Xenopus tropicalis: one gene and its partners. The protein of the gene in region 4 interacts with the protein of the main gene of each other region in a pairwise test. Links are inferred from orthologs where the notes say so. Each region holds a gene or a part of one and is shown on either strand. Other genes may lie near its edges.

What was found.
Region 1: the proteins of fhl2 (region 4) and rai2 interact in binary tests that used the Homo sapiens proteins (3 or more experiments, as listed by UniProt). The two-hybrid records come from large-scale screens. The link is inferred for Xenopus tropicalis from reciprocal best matches to the Homo sapiens genes FHL2 and RAI2.
Region 2: the proteins of fhl2 (region 4) and banp interact in binary tests that used the Homo sapiens proteins (3 or more experiments, as listed by UniProt). The two-hybrid records come from large-scale screens. The link is inferred for Xenopus tropicalis from reciprocal best matches to the Homo sapiens genes FHL2 and BANP.
Region 3: the proteins of fhl2 (region 4) and nrf1 interact in binary tests that used the Homo sapiens proteins (3 or more experiments, as listed by UniProt). The two-hybrid records come from large-scale screens. The link is inferred for Xenopus tropicalis from reciprocal best matches to the Homo sapiens genes FHL2 and NRF1.
Region 5: the proteins of fhl2 (region 4) and glyr1 interact in binary tests that used the Homo sapiens proteins (3 or more experiments, as listed by UniProt). The two-hybrid records come from large-scale screens. The link is inferred for Xenopus tropicalis from reciprocal best matches to the Homo sapiens genes FHL2 and GLYR1.

What each region holds. Positions count from the first base shown.
Region 1 is NC_030678.2:95,074,054-95,078,307, reverse strand, and holds the start of rai2 (retinoic acid-induced protein 2), read right to left. Parts: upstream 2,801-4,254; 5' UTR 2,574-2,800; intron 1-2,573.
Region 2 is NC_030680.2:65,815,711-65,819,894, reverse strand, and holds the start of banp (protein BANP), read right to left. Parts: upstream 2,801-4,184; 5' UTR 2,748-2,800; intron 140-2,747; 5' UTR 82-139; coding exon 9-81; intron 1-8. UniProt on the Homo sapiens protein: Controls V(D)J recombination during T-cell development by repressing T-cell receptor (TCR) beta enhancer function. Binds to scaffold/matrix attachment region beta (S/MARbeta), an ATC-rich DNA sequence located upstream of the TCR beta enhancer.
Region 3 is NC_030679.2:87,138,907-87,142,889, forward strand, and holds the start of nrf1 (nuclear respiratory factor 1), read right to left. Parts: upstream 2,801-3,983; 5' UTR 2,655-2,800; intron 1-2,654. UniProt on the Homo sapiens protein: Transcription factor that activates the expression of the EIF2S1 (EIF2-alpha) gene. Links the transcriptional modulation of key metabolic genes to cellular growth and development.
Region 4 is NC_030678.2:111,699,104-111,702,603, reverse strand, and holds part of fhl2 (four and a half LIM domains protein 2), read left to right. Parts: intron 1-2,197; coding exon 2,198-2,372; intron 2,373-3,500. UniProt on the Homo sapiens protein: May function as a molecular transmitter linking various signaling pathways to transcriptional regulation. Negatively regulates the transcriptional repressor E4F1 and may function in cell growth.
Region 5 is NC_030685.2:14,408,494-14,412,630, forward strand, and holds the start of glyr1 (putative oxidoreductase GLYR1), read right to left. Parts: upstream 2,801-4,137; 5' UTR 2,759-2,800; coding exon 2,721-2,758; intron 1-2,720. UniProt on the Homo sapiens protein: Cytokine-like nuclear factor with chromatin gene reader activity involved in chromatin modification and regulation of gene expression. Acts as a nucleosome-destabilizing factor that is recruited to genes during transcriptional activation.

The DNA of each region.
Region 1 (4,254 bases), about 17 Mb from region 4:
ACAAACAAGAGTAACAGGCATTTCTGTATCTTTCATATGAAATCTATATTATGCTGGTGTTTTATATAAATACACTGAGATTACAGTTGCACTTTGTATAACTCATGCAGCAGGATGATAGACCGTATTGCACAGTAACAACGTACAGTAGCATGTTTCAGTGTTTTCTAGATACCTTAGGAAACAGTACTCCAAATTACAGATAGACCCCTTATCTGGAAAAGCCCAGGTCCCAAGCATTTCACATAATAGAATCTTTACCTATAGAGAAAAGGCTAGTATTTTTAAATTTTCCATAATCATTTGGCCACCAGGGGCACACTTTCATTGGTGTGAAGGAATGCTGTGCAGAAAAGCGACCTAAAAACCCACATAAATAAATACATCTAAAATATAATAAACACATAAATAATGTTCTCTGGGCCCATGCATTTTACTTTTCTTTATAGCTTTCTTATAAAAAAAATATATAAGAGTCAGACCAGCACTGTGTTAATGCAGGGCTTCTCTTTTCATTACGAATAACAGTGGCCAAACAAAGATATTTTTTCCCAAACCTCATATCAATGGCAAATAAGGTCCCTGATACTTAGAATTTCTGATATTAAAAATAATAAAATTATAAATACAAACTAATTATTAATTAAAAAAAAAAACAAAAAAGAATAATAAATGCTAAAGGGGTTAATTGTAGACTTGGCTGTAAAAGGGTTTCCTGTGTGATGGTCGTTTTGTAAGTCCCATGCATTATGCATTAGAGATGTGAGTTCCTAAAATCCAGCATCAAATTATCCCACAGCACCACCCCAAAGACATGAAAGTCCATCCAGGCTGAAATAATTGCTTGTGCGTCCCGCGCATCCTGTCCTTTGGCCACCAAAAACCCAAGTGCATGAATGCATTATTACTTTAACATGCAGGCAGCTTCCGAGCAATACAATGGAAGCCAAAACAGTTCTGACCAGATCGGATTTACAGAAAAAGAGATATATGTGCAAAACTACAGCCCTGCTCCATCTGGAGAATCCTCCATTTTGCTTTTCATCTGCTGTTAAAAGACAATGGAAAATAACATTTTCATTCCAGCATGCAGCTCCATCTGACATATCTGAATTGGGCCCTGTCAGACTATAATTAAAGGGTCCTCCCACCTATTTTTATTCAAATACTAAGGTGGAATACAATAGTTTCTTGTGTAACGCCAAAGCATTGATTTTTGGCTCCTGCTGCTAATAATACATCTGTCACAACTTAACCACTTCACATTTTAAATGGGGAAATATTTTTATAATTATATGAATGCTATGAAAAAAATGTGTTTGTCTCTCTTTTCAGCATGGCATTGTCACAGCTTTACAGGACGGTTCATTGCTCTTATCACGCTCCCTTGCGCTCAATTAAAGAGATACTACATGATTGTAGTCTAAATGTAAATAGTCTTATTGAAAATAAAATATCTTAAAAATGAAAAAAAAACCCTATGAATCCAAAGAAGCACTCTGTAGATAGAAACCACCTTCTCCAGCAGGGACGAATCACCCCCTCCTCATTACTGAGCCACCAAATATATCTGCCTAGCCAAAAAATAAAGGAAAGAAAATGACCCCTGGGATTTGTGCATGTGAAACACAAGGCAGCAGCTGTTTGGCAACATTTCTTAAGTCTAAACAGAAAATGCGATGACATTTAATTTAGGAAAATCTGCCCCTTTTTTTTAGCTGCATAATGCACAAAAAGGCATATTTCACTGGAAATGACAAATAAGTCAAGGTGATATTTTGGTTACAATGGTCATAGAATAGATCACAGTATATTAGACAAGGGAAGACATATAAACAGAATGAATATATATATATATATACTTACAAAATGCAATATATACTTACAAAATGCATATGCATTAAGACAAATGGTTATTTAGACACATATAGAAAGATAGAAGGATGACAGATGATGATAGATAGATAGATAGATAGATAGATAGATGATAGATAGATACATAGGAGGCATTACTGATGTATCTATCTAACTTGCAATCCTTCAGTTGTTGGTAAACTACAATTTTTAGCCTTCAGAGTTGGGATAATTGTACAACTGGCTGAGGGCTTCTGCTTGCCCCCTCAAAAGATGAAATGTTTCCCATGAATATACCTTGCAAAAGAAGAAATGTGTACAACAGTTTTACATGTCAATAACATAATCTGTTCATGTGTGTGAGAGGCTGGTTGAGCCTGCCATCCCAGCAGCACAAGAACATACAGGCAGAGCTGTTCCTGCTGGAGAGGATCCAGGGTAAGGAGTAGGATCCCCGCAGCAGCCTCCATGGCTGTGTGTTCTGACAGCAGGGAAGGGACAGACCTGCTATACACATCCCTGTATCCTCTCATAACCTCCCCCCTCCCCGCCCATGGCACGGCTCTGAGCTGCTCTCCTTACTTGCCCCACATATCTCGCCACTATACATGTATATATGATTACGCTGTGCGGTGCTTGCCTTTCTGTAACAGCGCCTAAGCACTAGTGCCATCCTCAATCTCCAAATGGCTCGGTTCCAAGGATCTGCGCCCTCTTACCTGCCCAATTCCTGGCACTGGCAATAGTATCCTTCCTCCTGGCACTAAACTGGAGCTGAACCCTGGACTCCGGTAGGGATGTCGCTCTGCCTAGCGGCGCTACTGCTGCTCCATGTACAGAGAGAGCAGATGCAAGGAGTGCAGGGCGCTGGGTGTCTGTGGGCTCAGCTCCTCCCTCTCCTGTCTGTCAGTGGCACCGCCCGGCAAGCTGTGGGCCGGCTGTTATGCGCCTGTCTTCCTTCTCTGGCTTCTGCACCGTTGCCCAGTATATCCCATTATAAGTGTAATTTAGTGATTCACCGGGCACCTGTGCAACACAATTTGTGCGCCTCAGATTAGCAGTCATTTTAGATCATATATGCAATGATTTGATATGTTACCATGAGGCATGGTAGGGTTATTAAGAGTTTCCTACAGGTGGGGAGAGGGTATTTTAGTTACAAAGTAAAAGTCAAACCTTTCGAACCCTAAATGATGCCGAAGAACACCCCTAGCTTTACAGGCAGTCTGGGGATATATAGGACCACTAGGAGGGCAAAACTATATTGGCAGCAGACAGTGTGGGACTGGGACCACAGGGGCCCACCAGAAAAGACCATAGGCCCACTCTCCAAACTATTTTTCCCCCCTTTTCCTCACTCAACCTCCTTATTCTCCTAGTCTCTTTTATTTACATGCTAGGATTTATTCCTCCATCTATTTCTCTACTTTGTTTTCCTTCAGAAATAGGGAATGACTATGAAACATGCCAAATGGTTAGGAGCAGGACGGCCCACTGACACCTGGGGCCACCGGGAGTTTTCCTGGTATCCTGGTGGGCCAGTCCGACACTGGGAGCAGGTCCTGGGCCCTGGGGGTATAGGGGCTCCTGTGGCACTCAGTATATCTACATGCACAATCATTTCTAGAAACACTACTACTAAAATGGCACACATTAATTGTATACATTCTGTATAGCTTCTCTCCCTTTGGGTGCCCTGATTTAACACTGACACCCACCCTCAGCAAGTCTCCCATCATTCAACGCCTGCTGCTGTTAGATAGTGGCATTTATTTTCTGTCATCCTGTCACTGAACATCCCTCTGCATCTTTGTCTTCTGCACACAATTTCATTTTATTAATGCATTGCAGAATGGCACTGCTATTTCTGCCTTTTATTTCCTCCCGTACATCATGTCCTCCTACACAGTATATTGCTTTGTTTGGCTTAACGCCTTACCCATAAATTTCCGCTATTTGCATATCTTAACAAATCAGTATCAGAAAACATAAAGAAAGGAGGCAGGTTGTTATATTCTATCAGGGCTCTGTGCATCTTTAATTTTTAATTGAACAGAATGTATTGGTGAAATGTATTCTGTTGGTTATGGAGACTTTAGAAATATTTTTCATTCATGGGACCAACAACCTCAGACCAACAAATGCACCAAAATGAAATGTGTATGTGCCTATGTATGGTGAGCTGGTATAAACCATTTGTAAATATTGAAAAATTATATAAAAGGTTGACTGCAAAACATATCAGGGTATTAACAGGGGCAAAAGGCAAGCAGAGAGTGTGAGAAAGTTTTGCTGTTTACTATTAAATCTAGCAAGAAACAATTTTACAGGTTTTGTATCGGAACCTGCAAGTTACCACTTTAAAATGGCACATTTAACAGGTCAACAACACAATACAGG
Region 2 (4,184 bases), on a different chromosome or scaffold from region 4:
GTACTGACCTGGATGATGGCCTGGATGTAAATCTTCCACTGCAATTTGAACCACTTCAGCCAGTTCCTGGCCTGACATCATTGGAAGAATAGCAAATATCCAGCAAGAGGGGCTTTTGTGAAAAGGAATGTGGAAATTCCTGCAAACACAAAATTGTAACATGCTGACGAATATATATTTTAAAAATAAAGTGTATGATATAAAGCAATATACACTTAGGGAATTGTGTACAAACAGAAAGAAACTGTCTCCACTCTGGGTGTGGCAGGTCATAATCCATCAGCATACTCAAGATCAGTGATCCCCAAACAGTGACTTGTGAGCAACATGTTGCTCCCGGTGGCCTCAAAGCAGTTGCTCATTTTTGAATTTCTGGCTTGGTGGCACATTTTGGAGGCATAAAACCATATGTACTGCCAGACAGAGCCTCCTGTGGTCTGCCAGTCCACATTGGGCTACCAAATAACCAATCACAGCCCTTTCTGGGCACCCCCTAGGAACCTTTTTCATGCTTGTGTTGCTCCCCAACATTTTTTTTATTTAAATGTTGCTCGCAAGTAAAAAAAAAAAAAAGGTTAGGGACCTCTGCTCAAGTTGCAGCATCTCTGCATCACAACCACTTTGACATAAATATTATTTGTCCCTAAAAGCCAAGAAACCTACCCATGCTTAAAGGAGAAGGAAAGGCTAATAAAGAGTTAATCCCAAGCTGCAGGCATACCTTCAGTTGTCTCAATAGTGCCCTTAAATCTCCCCATACTTCACCCGTTCAGAAGATCAGAAGCCAAACAGGAAAAAAAAATGCTGAGCTGGGTAGAGAAGATTCCCATAATGCATCGCTCCTTCAAGACTTGGCGACTTGTTACTGCAGGCGGCGCATGCGCACAGGGCAGGAGCGTCCGGTTGCCATGGCAACGCAGCGTCGCCGAACTCTGTGACAAGCAGGTGGGGGAAGCGGGGGACAGGTGCTGCGAGCGGCGGAGGGTTTGTGGCAAGAGCGGGGGGGTTTGTGGAGCTTGGGGGGGTTTGTGGCAGGAGCGGGGAGCTGCAGAATCTTTGTGACAGGAGCGGGGAGCTGGCTTGTGCTTTTCAGCCCATACAGACATGCTGGACAAGATGGTGGCGCTGTTCACTGAAACAAGTATGTAAGTTCTAGTATGTGTATCTATGTAAATCTTTCATTAGGCGGCCAGGAATATAGCGTTTTTACACAGCAATAGTAGTACTATTTAATAGTGTGCTTAATAGATTTTGACTTTCCTTCTCCTTTAATATACAGCTATAAAGTACACTTAGAATAAGGCAACTTCAACCCCCTACCCTTCAAAAGCACTATTAAAACAAAACTGAGGGCTTACAAGTTTACACAAAAGAAAACAAATCTAAAAGTAACACATTTCTTTTCTTATCTTACCATAATATATGTTTCTCTATCTACAATAAACCTCTGATGTTGGTATCAGTCTCAAAATCCTCATGGGATCACTAGTATTTCACTTGTCATTAATTGGCTCTGGGATTGTATAATTTATTTCAATAATAGTGCAGGAAATAAGGCAATCCCTTGAACCCCTGCATTCATTTTCTCCAGTGCCCCATAGAAATAAAATAAAACTCCAGACCAAAACATCAAGCTGAGCAATTACTCCTTTATAGAATCAAAAGGAAAAAAGCACCCAACAGGCAAAAAGACACTCAATTTCTCCCAACTAAGTGATATATAACCAAACTGGTTTTCAAAGTAAAGGACATTAAAAATTAGAAAATTAAGGAAATGTAAAAATCATATATTCAAAAATGAACAGGATAAATACCCCTTGTGCTAAGGAGGCTTGGGTGTCAAAACCCCGAGCCTAACACTTGAAACCAGAAAGGCTCCTATTCCTTATTCAATTTTCATATGAGTGGGGAAAACAGTGTGCTCACCGATGTCCAAAGATGGTCCGGGTGCTCAAAGCCCCGAACCCGTAGCTGAAGGTATCATCAAAGAAGAAGCAGGACGTAAAGCACTCCGGACTGCCAGGGTCTGCTAAAACATGATCTTTATTTCTTCACATTAAAAACAGGTGCCTGACGCGTTTAGTGCACTTATTCATAGGCCAACGAATAAGTGCACTAACGCACGAAACGCGTCAGGCACCTGTTTTTAATGTGAAGAAATAAAGATCATGTTTTAGCAGACCCTGGCAGTCCGGAGTGCTTTATGTCCTGCTTCTTCTTTGATACTAAAAAATAAAGGATTATGGCAATGAGTGTAACATAGACCTTTATAAAGCAATATGTACATTGTTGTACTGTTTTGGTCTTAAGGGAGGCCCTGTTGTGCTGCACTTATTTTGATAACGGGGCCCAATGCTGTCAGTGAGCTGCAGACTTCAGAAGGGAGGGAGCTTCAGTGCCTGCATGTTCTTTTCTCTACACATCTTTCTCTACTGCTCCCTTTGTCACAGAAGTTTTAGTCCAAGTAGGGCATGATAAGGAAAAGATGGGCTAGGGAGAGTTCACACTCCAACCTGTACCCTATCTAATCACTGTGCAGCTTCACAGGGACTAAAACTTGTGACAAAACAAGCAGTACAGAAAGCTGTATATGGGGAAACAAAACGCAGGCACCTTAGCTCCCGCCCTTCCTTCTAAGGTCTGCAGCTCACCGACAGCAGGGAGGGGCCGGCTAAACGAGTAAGTGCATACAACACAGACTCTCCCCATTTTCCTATCACAGCCCGCAGTATCAGATCGCTACTTACAATTCCCGCAAAGATTTTAACTGCAAGATTCTGGCCTCCTTCCTGACTTAGAGAAAATCCCGACGCCTCATCACGCGAGATTGCGTAATGACGTCCGGACGCAAAGCGCAGTGACGTAACACGTAGCCGTCTAATGGGAGTAACATGGGGATACGACGTAATTTAGTGTTACGCAATTAGAAGCGGCTATGGTGCAGTAGGTCCGCTCACAGTTTGTTTTTGCTATACTCAACACACCACCTACTTTTGTTAGAGAACAAAAAAAAAGATAAGAATTTTCTTTCTTATTGGTTGCCATGGCCTCCACGTCGGCTTCCAGTATTTCATACGCAGCACTTTATCATTTTTGCTCAGATTTTCTTCTTTTGCCAGGAAACGAACAGAAGACTTTTTTTATTGGTTGCGAATAGCACCTTCCGCTGTCGGATCCGCTTGTCCCAATTTGACCAAAAAAGGAAAGAGATTTTGCTCTAACATGGGTCAGATGAAATTAGGTCATCACTTTAGGGATTTTTTTTTTGTATTAAGCGGGCCGCAGTATTTTTGTGCAAACAAGGGCTAATTTGGGGGAGGACCATGAAATGGGTACAATTTATTTTATCTTTATGTTCTACGTACTTTTAAACCTATTAAAGGAGAGGTATATAAAAATGAATGTACCAGTGAATTATACTCTTTTAGGTATAGAAGGATTGTGCTTAAAAAAAAGTTGTGTTTCAGACTGATTTATTGAGAAATTCCCCTAAAACCCCGGTAGTCCCCCCCATCTGTTCTACTTCCTGCTGGCTCTGGGTACACTGCACTGTAGGATAGGAACCAATCAGCAGATAGGCTGACCTGATAGGGAACTGAAGTCTGTCTTTGCTTGTGTGACTGCAAGGTTTTTCCCATTTATCCAATATGTCTCCTTTAAAGGAACAGTAACGTCAAAAAATTAAAGTGTTTTAAAGTAATTAAAATATAATGTGCTGTTGCTCTGCAAAAAACTGGTGTTTTTGCTACAGAAAAGCTACTATATAAATAAGCTGCTGTGTAGCCATGGGGGCAGCCATTCAAGCTGGAAAAAATAAGAAAAGGCACAGGTTACATAGCAGATAACTAGTAGATAAGCCCCATATAATGGGGGTTTATCTGTTATCTGCTAAGTAACCTGTGCCTTTTCTTATTTTTTCCAGCTTGAATGGCTGCCCCCATGGCTACACAGCAGTTTACTTATATAAACCATAGTAGTCTTTCTGAGGCAAACACACCAGTTGTAGCAATGCAGGGCAGCAGTACATTATATTGTAATTACTTTTATACACTTTCATTTTTTGGTGTTACTGTTCCTTTAAGGGTTGTGGCACGTGAGGACATTTGTTGCCTGTGGGAAAGCTATGTTGGATTTCAGTGTGCAAAACAATGTACTTGTTGCAATCCTGCCTAATTGCTGAAAAA
Region 3 (3,983 bases), on a different chromosome or scaffold from region 4:
GCCATAATAACAGCAAACACATTATGACCAGGGCTTTGAGGAACATAAAGAACAGCAACGTTATATTTATCTGTGCACCCATAAGAGCCACTCCAACATAAAGGGAATGTAACACTTTAAAAAAAAAAAAATTTAAAAAATAAGAACATATATATATATCTATCTATCTACCAGGGCAGAGAATAGAAAGAAGCAGAGAATGTTTTTTTATTGAACATTTCTATTGAAATCAATCACAAATAACTTTAAAATCAATAGCTAATTACTGCATATACAAAAATTTGCTTCCATTTGCAATTTCTCTCACTAGGCAAAAAGGCAAATGCCGGTGTATATAAACCCTTTAAACTGGCACTATAAATTGGGTTTTGCATTATGATGTCTCTCATATTTGTAATTAAGCCCCATTAGCGATTAAATGTGCACCCAGTCACCTTACACTTAACTACTAATCCTAAAGATAGCAGAGAACTATGTTTATAAGGGTGAAGACACACAGAGCTACTAGTAGCAGCTACTTTTCATGGCTACTAAACCCTAGAAAATACCCTGCCATAGAGGATACTGAGAATTGCCTCTGCTAAAACACACATAGATACAGTTATCGGTAAATGATCAGCATTGTCTGTTTTAGTAGCCACAACAAGTAGCTGCTACTAGTAGATCTGTGTGTCTTCACTCTTAAAGGAACAGTAATACCAAAAATTAAAAGAGCTTTAAAGTAATTAAAATATAATGCACTGTATCCCTGCAATGGTAAAACCGGTGTGTTTTCTACAGTAACACTACTATAGTTTATATAATAAGCTGCTGTTTAGCCATGGGGGCAGCCATTCAAGCTTAAAAAAAGGAGAAAAGGCACAGGTTACATAGCAGATAACAGATAAGCTCTGTAAAATATAATAGTGTTCTCTGTTATCTGCTATGTGCCTGTGCCTTTTCTCCATTGAATGGCTGCCCCCATGGCTACACAGCAGAGTAGTAGCCTTCTGAAGCAAATACACAACTTTTACCAGTGCAGAGCAACAGTACATGATATTTTAATTACTTTTATACACTTTCATTTTATGGTGTTACTGTTCCTTTAAAGAACAGAAGACCTTAAAGCAGACAAGGGGGATTTAAAATGTAACACTGAAAAAAAGCAGCTCTGTTGCCAAAAATTTTCAGGGAGGGAGTTATATGAAGAGCAGTGTCTGTTTGGGAGACACTGTCTGCATATTCAACTAACCTATGTAAGCCTATTGCAGCAACCCTAAAGGTCCCCATACACGGGCCGACTATAGCTGCCGATATCGGTCCCTTGGACCGATTCGGCAGCTAATCGGCCCGTGTATGGGGAGAGCAGAGCGGCCTGGCCGACCGATATCTGGCCTGAAATTGGCCAGATCTCGATCGGCCAGGTTAGAAAATCCGGTCGGATCGGGGACCGCATCGGCTCGTTGATGCGGTCCCCGATCCGATTGCCCCAGGGCCAAACGATCGGATTATTTTTTTTTTTACCTAAATGCTCCCCGATATCGCCCACCAAGCGAGCGGATCTGCTCGTGTATGGCCACCTTTAGAAATAGCAGTTTAGCCTCATGTCTTATTTCAAGGAAAACACTGCTGTTTTCTAAACAGTCAACAAGTTCACATAATTTAAGTTTTAACTATGGAACGAATTTAATACATTTGATGCATTTTTTTTTTTTACATTTCTTCAAACTGTACAAAATAAAGGTCTACTGGGGGAACTGTGTTGCCATTTATGAATATAAACACACTTATTGAGACATGTAACAAATGTTAAAACTTGAAAAATCCCTTTTAATCGTGTAGAAAACATAAAAGGTAAATCATATATTTCCCCTTAAACCCAATAAATACATAATTATGAACAGCCCCACCCCCTCATTTTGCCAGATGTTATTGAGTTACAGACTCCACACAATTTAGGAAAAACCTTGAGAATTGACACATATGAATGGAACTGGTGCTGGTTCCCCTTGAGCTCAGCTTTGCCTTAGGCCATACAAAGGAGATACTATGCCTAACAGCACCAGCTGAACTATAACACCTTTTATTAGCTACTGTACTGCAATAACTGCTGCAGGCTAACAGGGTTTGCCTTATCCAATAAGGCTTACCAAAATACAAAAACACAACATACCCCATAGCCAAAATTATAATTGCAGAGGGAGCAGTATTTTCCACAACATGGATGTGACTTTTGATCAGCCATTGCATATAGAGCAGGGGTCCGATTATCTGGCGCCATACAGATTCGACACCCCCTGGGGAATAAGCTACATGCACTGCGTGTGCAAACTACAGATAAGATGTTGCTGAGTATAACACACAAACACTACAGAGTCTGTATTTTGGAAGCAATGGAAATGGATACACAGGCTCATTATTAATAACCAAGTCATTCTCAGTATTTCAAATGCACCCCGCCCATATCACAAGCACTAGGGCCTAGTGCGGCCTGCTGCAGCCTCTCTACATTCCTTGTTCCCCGCAACCTCTGGCTGACTCCCCAGTCTCCACTATACTCCCCGGCAGGCTTTCTACGGGGCGGAGCTGCTGGCAGAACCCCGGAGCCCGAGCTCCGTGTTGCGGCTGCGCCAGCAGGGTTGAGATAGCTGGAGATTGCGCGGTAGGGCACTCACCTCAGAGCGGCTGCGCTACAGCGAGCCTGCGCCGTGACACACGAGCGGGGACCTCTCTAAGCTGCAATGGCTGCGGGAACCCACGCTGCACACGGCCAGGACTGGGTTACGTCACTGACGTTCTGACGTTTCCCTGCTTCGGGACGTCGTGTCCTAAGAAGAGCGCCATTTTGAGAAGGCTTTCTCAAACATCACTGTTCCAGTCTGAAACTCTTTATATGTTTGCTTGTTGGTACATGTGAAATGGCTTGTGATTTTACCAATTATGTGGGACAGAAACAACAGAACTGTAATTATGAAACATTTTTTTAAAAAGTATTACAATGATGCAATGATTGCCACCAGACTCCTTATAGTTTTATCTTTCCTTCCTATAACTAACATTGATATCAATGGTTGACACCTGGCAGGTGTTTAGCCAGTAAAGAACAGAGCTGCTGTGAGATGTCATAGACAGTCACTATTTAGTGAGCTGGTGGGGGCTGATTGGGCCTCTCTGTACTTAGACACAAATACTGTTTTGAATCCTATTCCAGACCTGGCCCTACCCACCAAATTTCTGCACAATGTGCGACCGGTCCACCATGTTTAGCTCACTCCCCTATTTTTATGGGCAGAACGTTTTACTGGGCTCCATCTTGCTGCAGGCTCTAGAGTTACACCAGTGCAACTAGGTGTTAAACAACAACAAATGTCCAAAACTTTATAAAAGGGGTGCTTTAGACACTAACCTGAAATCCCAGGTGGTGATCCTCTCCTTAAAGGACATGTCAACCCAAAAATATTTTTGCCTGATGAAGGAAAACATCATTCTAAGCAACTTTCCAGTATGAATTTATTAAATATTTGTAGTGCTTTAAACATTATTTGTAAATGTATTTGCTATTAAAAACAGCAGTTGCTTTACTCTGTGTTATGATTTTTTAAACAATGTTGCTAAAGTCAGCCTTCTCCAGCAAGACAGGTCTGTTATTCAGGTGGCTTGTGTTACATTCTATCAAAAGTTGGAACCACCAGGGCAGGGAATAGAAAAGGATAGACAACAATGAAAAACATGTTTTTTTCAAAATGCATCAGATAACAGTACTGCTCCATCAGGAATTCTGCACTGAAATCAAATTTTTAAAAAGCAAACAGATTTTTTAAAATGTAATTTCAAAACATGGGGCTAGACATATTATTAGTTTCCTAGGGGCTCTTAGCCATGTGACTTGGGCTTTGATAAACTTTAGTCTTTCTTTACTGGTTGGAGTGATATCACCCTCCCAGCAGCCGATTAGTAAAACAATAGGAAGGTAACATGATAACAGCTCCCTGACACCTGTATTG
Region 4 (3,500 bases):
TACAATTAAATCTGTTTGCCCTTTAGAAAATGGATTTCAATGCAGGAGAAGCTCTATTAACTGAGAAAAAACTTAAAAAAATTAACTTAAAAAAAAATCATGGTTTCCCATGACAGTATTTCTTTAAGCTGGCTGACCTTTTTAGGATTGATTTCTGTGTAATCTAATTGGCCAGCCAAACTGCTCTGACAAAATCACAACTCATAGGGGCTGATTTACTAACGCACGAATCCGAAAAATTCCGATTGGAAAATGAACATTTTGCGACTTTTTCGTGTTTTTCGTCGCCGTTACGACTTTTCGTAAATTGTCGCAACTTTTTTGTAACCATTACAAATTGCGCGAAAAGTTTTCGTATTGAGCGCTCGTAAGCAGCGGGCGAAACTTTCAGACTTAGCATGATTTTGGAAGCCTCCCATAGGACTCAATGGCACTCTGCAGCTCCAACCTGGCCCAAGGAAAGTCTCCCATAGGGCTCAATGGCACTCTGCAGCTCCAACCTGGCCCAAGAAAAGTCTCCATACTGAAGCTTGAATGAATCCGAAACTTTTGTACTCGGCGCAAAAGCTGCGAAAAAGTCGCGACTTTTTGCGAAGCAATCGTAATGGCTACGAAAAAGTTGCAACAATTTCCGAAAGTACCGATCATTACGAAAAAAACGCATTCGGACGCCGTCGGACGATTCGTGGGTTAGTAAATGTGCCCCATATAGTTAACAAGAAGAAGGTGCTGGCTTTAGCACTTCCAAGTTCATCAGTGAACAACATTATAAGGGAAACATAGAGTAAACCTGGCTAAACAGGTAGTAAACCTTGCCAAATATCCTATACACATTTGTCTGTTTTAATTAGAACTGTATGGTTGTCTCTAAGGGTTCTGGACTAAGAGACTTAATTGTGAGTGATTCTTGTTTGATCACACCAGCATCAGCCAGCATAGAACAACTTGGGCTTGCAAATCATTTTAGCAATCCATGTATCCATATCACAGAAATATCCAGCCCTTGAGACCCCAGGCTTTTTACCTAGATAGCCAGTAAGTCTGGCCATATGGGTATGAAGCTGCAAGACGTAGAAGATAAAAGCACTGATATCGCTGTAATGGGAGGAATTTTATGAAAGCAAAATATGTGTTTTGCTATTTTTGTTTGTGTTATAAATATACTTGTTATATCAGATATTTACCAAGACAGTAAGGTATTCTGCAGAGGCACAACATGATGAACACAAACCTCCTACATAAACATAGTTATTTATTGATTAAAGTTGTTCATCCTCTTTTCAGACAAACAAACTGCGAGTTAGCGCACAGGAGATTCAGGGGCAAGCCAAGTTTTCTACACTGTCTGCATTAGTTAACATGACAGATTTATTCTGATCTCCTGGCTCAGCCAAGAGTATAATCTGAGATTATGCAACGATCCTTAGTTCATCACAATGGATACCAGAGACGCACATAAAAAGAGGCTGTTAAGAAAAAAAAAATATTTTTATAAGTGCATCTTCGTGATTCACACACCATGGGACCCACAGCACATTTTTTAATGTTCCAGAAGCCTCCTGATTCTAATTTTCCTTAAGGATATTATCACTGCAGATAAAAACATTGCCCAGCTCCCTGTTCTATGGTCAAAACACAAGATCCAAATTAAATGGTGACTGACTGATTAAGTGATATATTTGTTATATGCTTATCCTCACACTACACAAATATTGCATTCAGTCTGACTGTTATTTGACTAATTGGTTAATTAAATGTGAGTGCTCAGATTAGTGAACTGGCACTGGAATCACACTTCTGTGCTCTATGTGTGCAGCCTGACATGACATAGATATATAACTGCATTAGCATTGCTTACATTGTTAACATTAATAAATACAATTTATTATAAGTAATAGTATGTACACAAATACCATTTATTATAAAAAATAGTATGTGGATAGGACTGATAAATTTGGTGCACTGAGCATGCTGGGACACCAGGAGATTACGTGATTTGCCCAGGGTCACAAGAAGTTATCACAGGGAATCAAACCAATGTCTCTAGTATGAGATCTCACATCAGAGCCTGATCAGTTATCCTGTAAGTTTAGTTTGGTCCCACTCTGACCAAAAGCGTTATAAATAAACATTATATTATTGAAATTCTATCATGAAAAGGAACGGTTAGTATTAACAGTGTGCCATTCTTTTTCAGGATCTTTCCTATAAAGACCGCCACTGGCATGAATCCTGTTTCCATTGCTTCCAGTGCAAGAAATCCCTGGTGGACAAGCCTTTTGCTGCTAAAGATGAACACCTCATTTGCACTGAGTGCTACTCTAATGAGTATTCTTCTAAGTGCAGCGAGTGTAAGAAGACAATCATGCCAGGTAAGGAGTGCTATGGTGTAATATTGCAGAGGATTGTACAGCTCACATAGTGCAAATGTTGTTAATGTTTATGTACTCCTTTGGCTGACATTTTTGTACCTTAAAGAAAAAGTAAGACTTTTATTTTAAACTCCCCTAAAATTACTCTAAACAGCCCCTTGAATAACATATCTTTCTCCCTTCATGCAGATTTGTTATAAGCAGCTGATCTGCAGCCTCTTTTGCGGACTCCCTTGTCTTGCATGAAGCACCTCCCCATTTTGCTTTCTGAGCAGGGAGAAAAGTATGTTATTCTGGGGGGTGTACAGAGTAATTTATATTACTTATGCTTAAAAATAAGTATGTTTTTTTGCATGGGAATAGAATACTAGAATACCTGCCCATTGACTTCCTTGGCGTGAGAAAATATACCCATTGTATTTGGTTAAAAAAAATGAAATTTGGCTACTGACTTCAATTCATTTGGAAGGGAAAAAACTATTGATTCCAATGCAGTTGGAGCAAGGAAAACCACATATTGACTTCAATGCAATGGGGGGCCAGAAAAAAATGCAGTGAAAAAAGTCTATTGACTCCAATACATTTGGAAACATTTCTACCAAATGTTGCTATTTTGCTAATTTTTCCACAAAGTGAAACAGGACAGTTTCACTCATTACTGATGGACACTAATTCATTAATTGAATATTATAATTAATTAAATTAACTATTTTCTTTGCTTTCAGGGCTGAACTTTACTACAACAATATCAAATAGAAATTCTGGCCTATAATAATAAGATTATTATATTATTTATCAAATAAGATATTATATTATTTATTGTAAATGATTTACAATAAGTATATTGTATATATTATAATATAATGCTTTAAAATGACATATTTCACCAGCAGCCTCCAATTATGAAGGAAATATAGTAGCTGTTTTCAATTTCTAGAAATGGCTGCTCTGTACACTGAGCAGAGGCACTGCATGAACAGAAAGGGAGATGCAATTAAATGATTACGACGGGAAAGGGATAAATATATTTTTCATCCAGATGGAGCATTTGGGAGGGTAACCCATTAGTTCCTAAGGTCTTTACCGTTACATCCTGTACACTCCATTTCTATTTCTGCCAGGTTAGAA
Region 5 (4,137 bases), on a different chromosome or scaffold from region 4:
GCTGAAAGATACACCTCTGCCCAATCTATAGCAATATTTCCCTGCCCTTTTCACTATCCATTCTTTCTTCTGTTTACAAGGATGCTGTTCTACCTTCACAGACTTCAGATACTTCCCTGTATGCGAGTGGGGCACAAAAGAAGCCCTTACTAAAAAAGGACAAGAAGAAAGAACATCGGGACTCTGCCATGCAGAATGACCTTGTTGCCATGTAGGACACGAATGTCTGTTCAGATGAGACCAAGACAGGAATTTTTGGCTAAAGATCAATTTCACATGGTGCAAATAAAATACTGCCGACATTGAGGAACGGTGTTGGAAACATCATGTTTTCATCAAACTGAAGAATAAATGGTGCAAAATACAGAGGGAAAAACTCTTCTGGCTAAAAAAGCAGAAGTTTGGCCGTATAGTCATTATTTAGCAGAACAATGATCCCAATCATTAACACTGAAGCGACTCAAGAGAGAAATGTCCTGCACTGGCCCAGATCTCAGTTCAGAATCAACGGCAGAATTTGCTAATTGAGGAAAAGCATCATCCAACAAACCTGACGTTCCTGGAGAAAAATCTGTTTGGAAGAATGGACCAAAATCCCCCCTGCAAAGTTGGTATGGACTCAGCCTATAGGTGGCCATACACGCTAAGATCCGCTCACTTGGCGAGGTCTCGGAGCGAGCGGATCTTCTCCCGATATCGGGCTAATTTGGTCAATACGATCAAATTAGAATGACAGGAGTAGACGCAGTTGGTTCGGGGACCGCATCAATGAGCCAATGCAGTCCCGGATCCGACTAAATTTTTAAACCTGCCCGATCGATAGCTGGCTGATTTCAGGCCAGATATCAGCCGGGCAGGCCCATCGTTTGTGCCCATACACAGGCCAATAAGCTGCCGAATCAGCCCGTGTATGGCCACCATAAGAGTTTAGGGCCGATACTGCTGCAAAATGGAGCTCTAGGCAATATAAAAATGTGGGGGGGTTAACAATTATACAATATATATCTGACATAATACCTTAAAGGAACAGTAACACCAAAAAATGAAAGTGTATAAAACTAACTAAAATATAATGTGCTGCTGCCCTGCACTGGTAAAAGTTGTGTGTTTACTTCAGAAAGTCTACTATAATTTATATAAATAAGCTGCTATGTAGCCATGGAGGCAGCCATTCATAGGAAAAAAGGCTCAGGCACTTAGCAGATAACAGATAAAACACTATTGTATTCTACAGAGCTTATCTGTTATCTGCTATGTAACCTGTGCCTTTTCTCCTTTTTTCCAACTTGAATGGCTGCCCCCATGGCTACACAGCAGCTTATTATATAAATTATAGTAGGGTTACTGTAGCAAACACACCAATTTTACCAGTGCAGGAATGGCTGCCCCCGGGGCTACACAGCAGCTTATTATATAAATTATAGTAGGGTTACTGTAGCAAACACACCAGCTGTACCAGTGCATTATATTTGTATTACTCTTTTAGCTCTTTTTTTGGTGTTACTGTTCCTTTAAACTAATTTTGAGTTTCGGTGCTTGGCAATAATAAGAACAGTGTTGGACTAGTTATTCAGTAAAATGAGAGAATTGGATTCAGGAGAAAGAAAGGTTCCAGTGGCAAAGACCCAAGGGGGCCGTACTGCTAGTGCAGAAAGTACTATTGTGCTCTGTGCACCAGAAGAGCTTATTATCATTTTACTAACTGGCTTTGTGCCCCCTGGTAACTTGCAGGGAGCCGCTGCCCAAGGAAGGGTTCTCACCCTGTTACTGCCAGGACGGAGCAGGGGATGCTGGGACACCGGAACAAAATGGACCCTAGGGTCGCAAGTAAACTGAAGCAATCAGAGGGGTGCCAACAGCACCAGTGATTCAGCCTTCCCTTGTCCTTCAACAGTCTGTAAACACAGGATACAAATAATAAAACTAAATAGATCATACATCCATTTCCCAGAATATTTTAGGCAAAAAAAAAAGACAACAAAGATTTAAATAATAAGTAGAAAAAAATTGCTAAAAATTGCTCAGTGCAAATACAGGAACACCATAATACATGGAATAATGCATTAGAAGAATATATAGTTTTAAAACTATTGCAATGATCTGACCGATAGCTGTAGGTTTACGGGGCAATAATATAAATTAACCTTTTTCCCTGCACACCAGCAAAGGGCTACCCTGTGAGGTCACTCATTTAAAGTGGTTGCTATAGTATATGGACCTTAGCAACCAAAAAGCAACACAACTCCAATTCCAAACTGCAGGCGAAAAATGACCATTAAAAAAAAAACACACAAAAAAAGAATAGAAGACCCCTTACGAACGTATTTAAACAATCACATGAGTGTAAAAGTTAAATTTAAGGCTATTATCCCTTTACTGTCATCTCCATGTCAGTAAGAGGAAATCTTCACTACCAACAGAACTACAACTCCCAGAATGCTGAGTAGTAGGGAAAGTTGTGTGTGTATCTGCCATTAAGCAGCCATTGTGTGTGTCTCTCAGCAGCTTGGCAGCACAATCGCCCTCCCTCATACTTAATTTCTCGGTTCTTTGTTGATGAAGCAGCTGAAGTCCCAGCCCCAAGGAGCAGGGAGTGAGGCGACACAGGCAGCCCTTTCAACTCAGGCACTGCCTGTCCTTCCCCATTTGTATACAGAGCTGCGCACTCAAGGCCTGCGCGGCCTGCCCTGCCCTACAACCATTCCCACAGCAACACTCACCACACCAAATCTCCTTGTCGCAGGCTCACTGCCGCCATCTTACCGACACAGCCAGCAGCGGGGAAGGGGTAGGAAAAAAAATTAGCTGCGCGGAGGATGCTGGGAACAGGAAACGCTCCCTCCCACCCAAACGCCGTGCGCGGCTCCCCAAGCTGCGACGAATACCCACCCTGTTCCTCCCACCGCGGCGAGCCAATGAGCAGCGTAAAAAAAAATATCGATGAAGCCCAACCAATGATTGGACAGACGTCAGTGTTAGCCACGCCCAGCGTGTCTGCGGAAGCGCGCCCGTACACCAAAACCGTCTCCTATTCGCTATTGAAGTCACGTGAGGCGCTTCGCTCTCTGTCAATGCTTGTTGTTGTTGTCGACGGCGCCGCCGTGGGAGGTCATGTGACTAAGGAGGCGCTAGCTCGCTGGCTTCTACAGACCACGTGACGCCGCCGCCGCTGCTGCCGGTGACGTTGCTTTCCACGGCTGTCAACCCTTCTCCAAGTACGGGGTCTCCGGACTGGGGAGCGCCGCGGTGAGTGGGTGGGGACTGTTGGGTACGGAAGTTGAGTTCCTCTTTATAAACACGTCAGTTTATGGTGTTGTTTAGAAGCACTTCCGGGTACTTTCTCTTCAGCCGCAATGGAATCTTCCCGCCCCCTCTGTGTGCAGTGGCGCGACCCGTGGCTATAAAACCAGGTGTTCGCTTGTCAGATGTGTCACTTACGCCTTATACGCGGTTGTGCCAATTGTGTTTTGCTTTGTTTTTGGCGGGCAAACTGCGTAGTGTCAAATTCCAGCACAGCCCCATGCATTTCTAGTATTGTTTTCACGCAATAAAGCACATTACCAGACTATAGTCAAGTGAACCGAATTAAATAGACTTAAGTCTTGTTATTTTGAGAGGGTTTTTTTTACCTCCACACGTTTTGCTTTTCATACTGTAGGTTGGCACTGAGACTTTAATGCGCCAGTACCACAAAGAAGTCCCATAACCTTCGCCCACATGCTGATTTTTTATTTAATATATACTCCCAATATGTTGGTGAGGCTCAAGGCCTTTATTTTCGTATTAAACACAAAGGGGGCTTTCTACAGGTTTGACCTTGGAGGGGGGGGGGGGGATAAATACTGGTCTTCCTGGCATTGTTATTTGTCTTTTTTTCTTTTAAAGGGTAAGTTATGCCTACAACGCACGCCACAGTATATTTTTAAGTGAGGTTCTAACCAGTGATCATCAAACTGTCAGAGCCCTCAAATGTCTTCATCTAGCGGCATTTGGGAATATTAACCTTTTCCATGCCGCAAAACATCCAAGTTGCTGCCTATCAAGTGCTGGCACCATTGATTCCCTTTTATCCTATGGAGCAGTATCATTTGCACCTGCTGTGTAAAAAAACAGTAAACAATTCTTTTCTTGTGCATC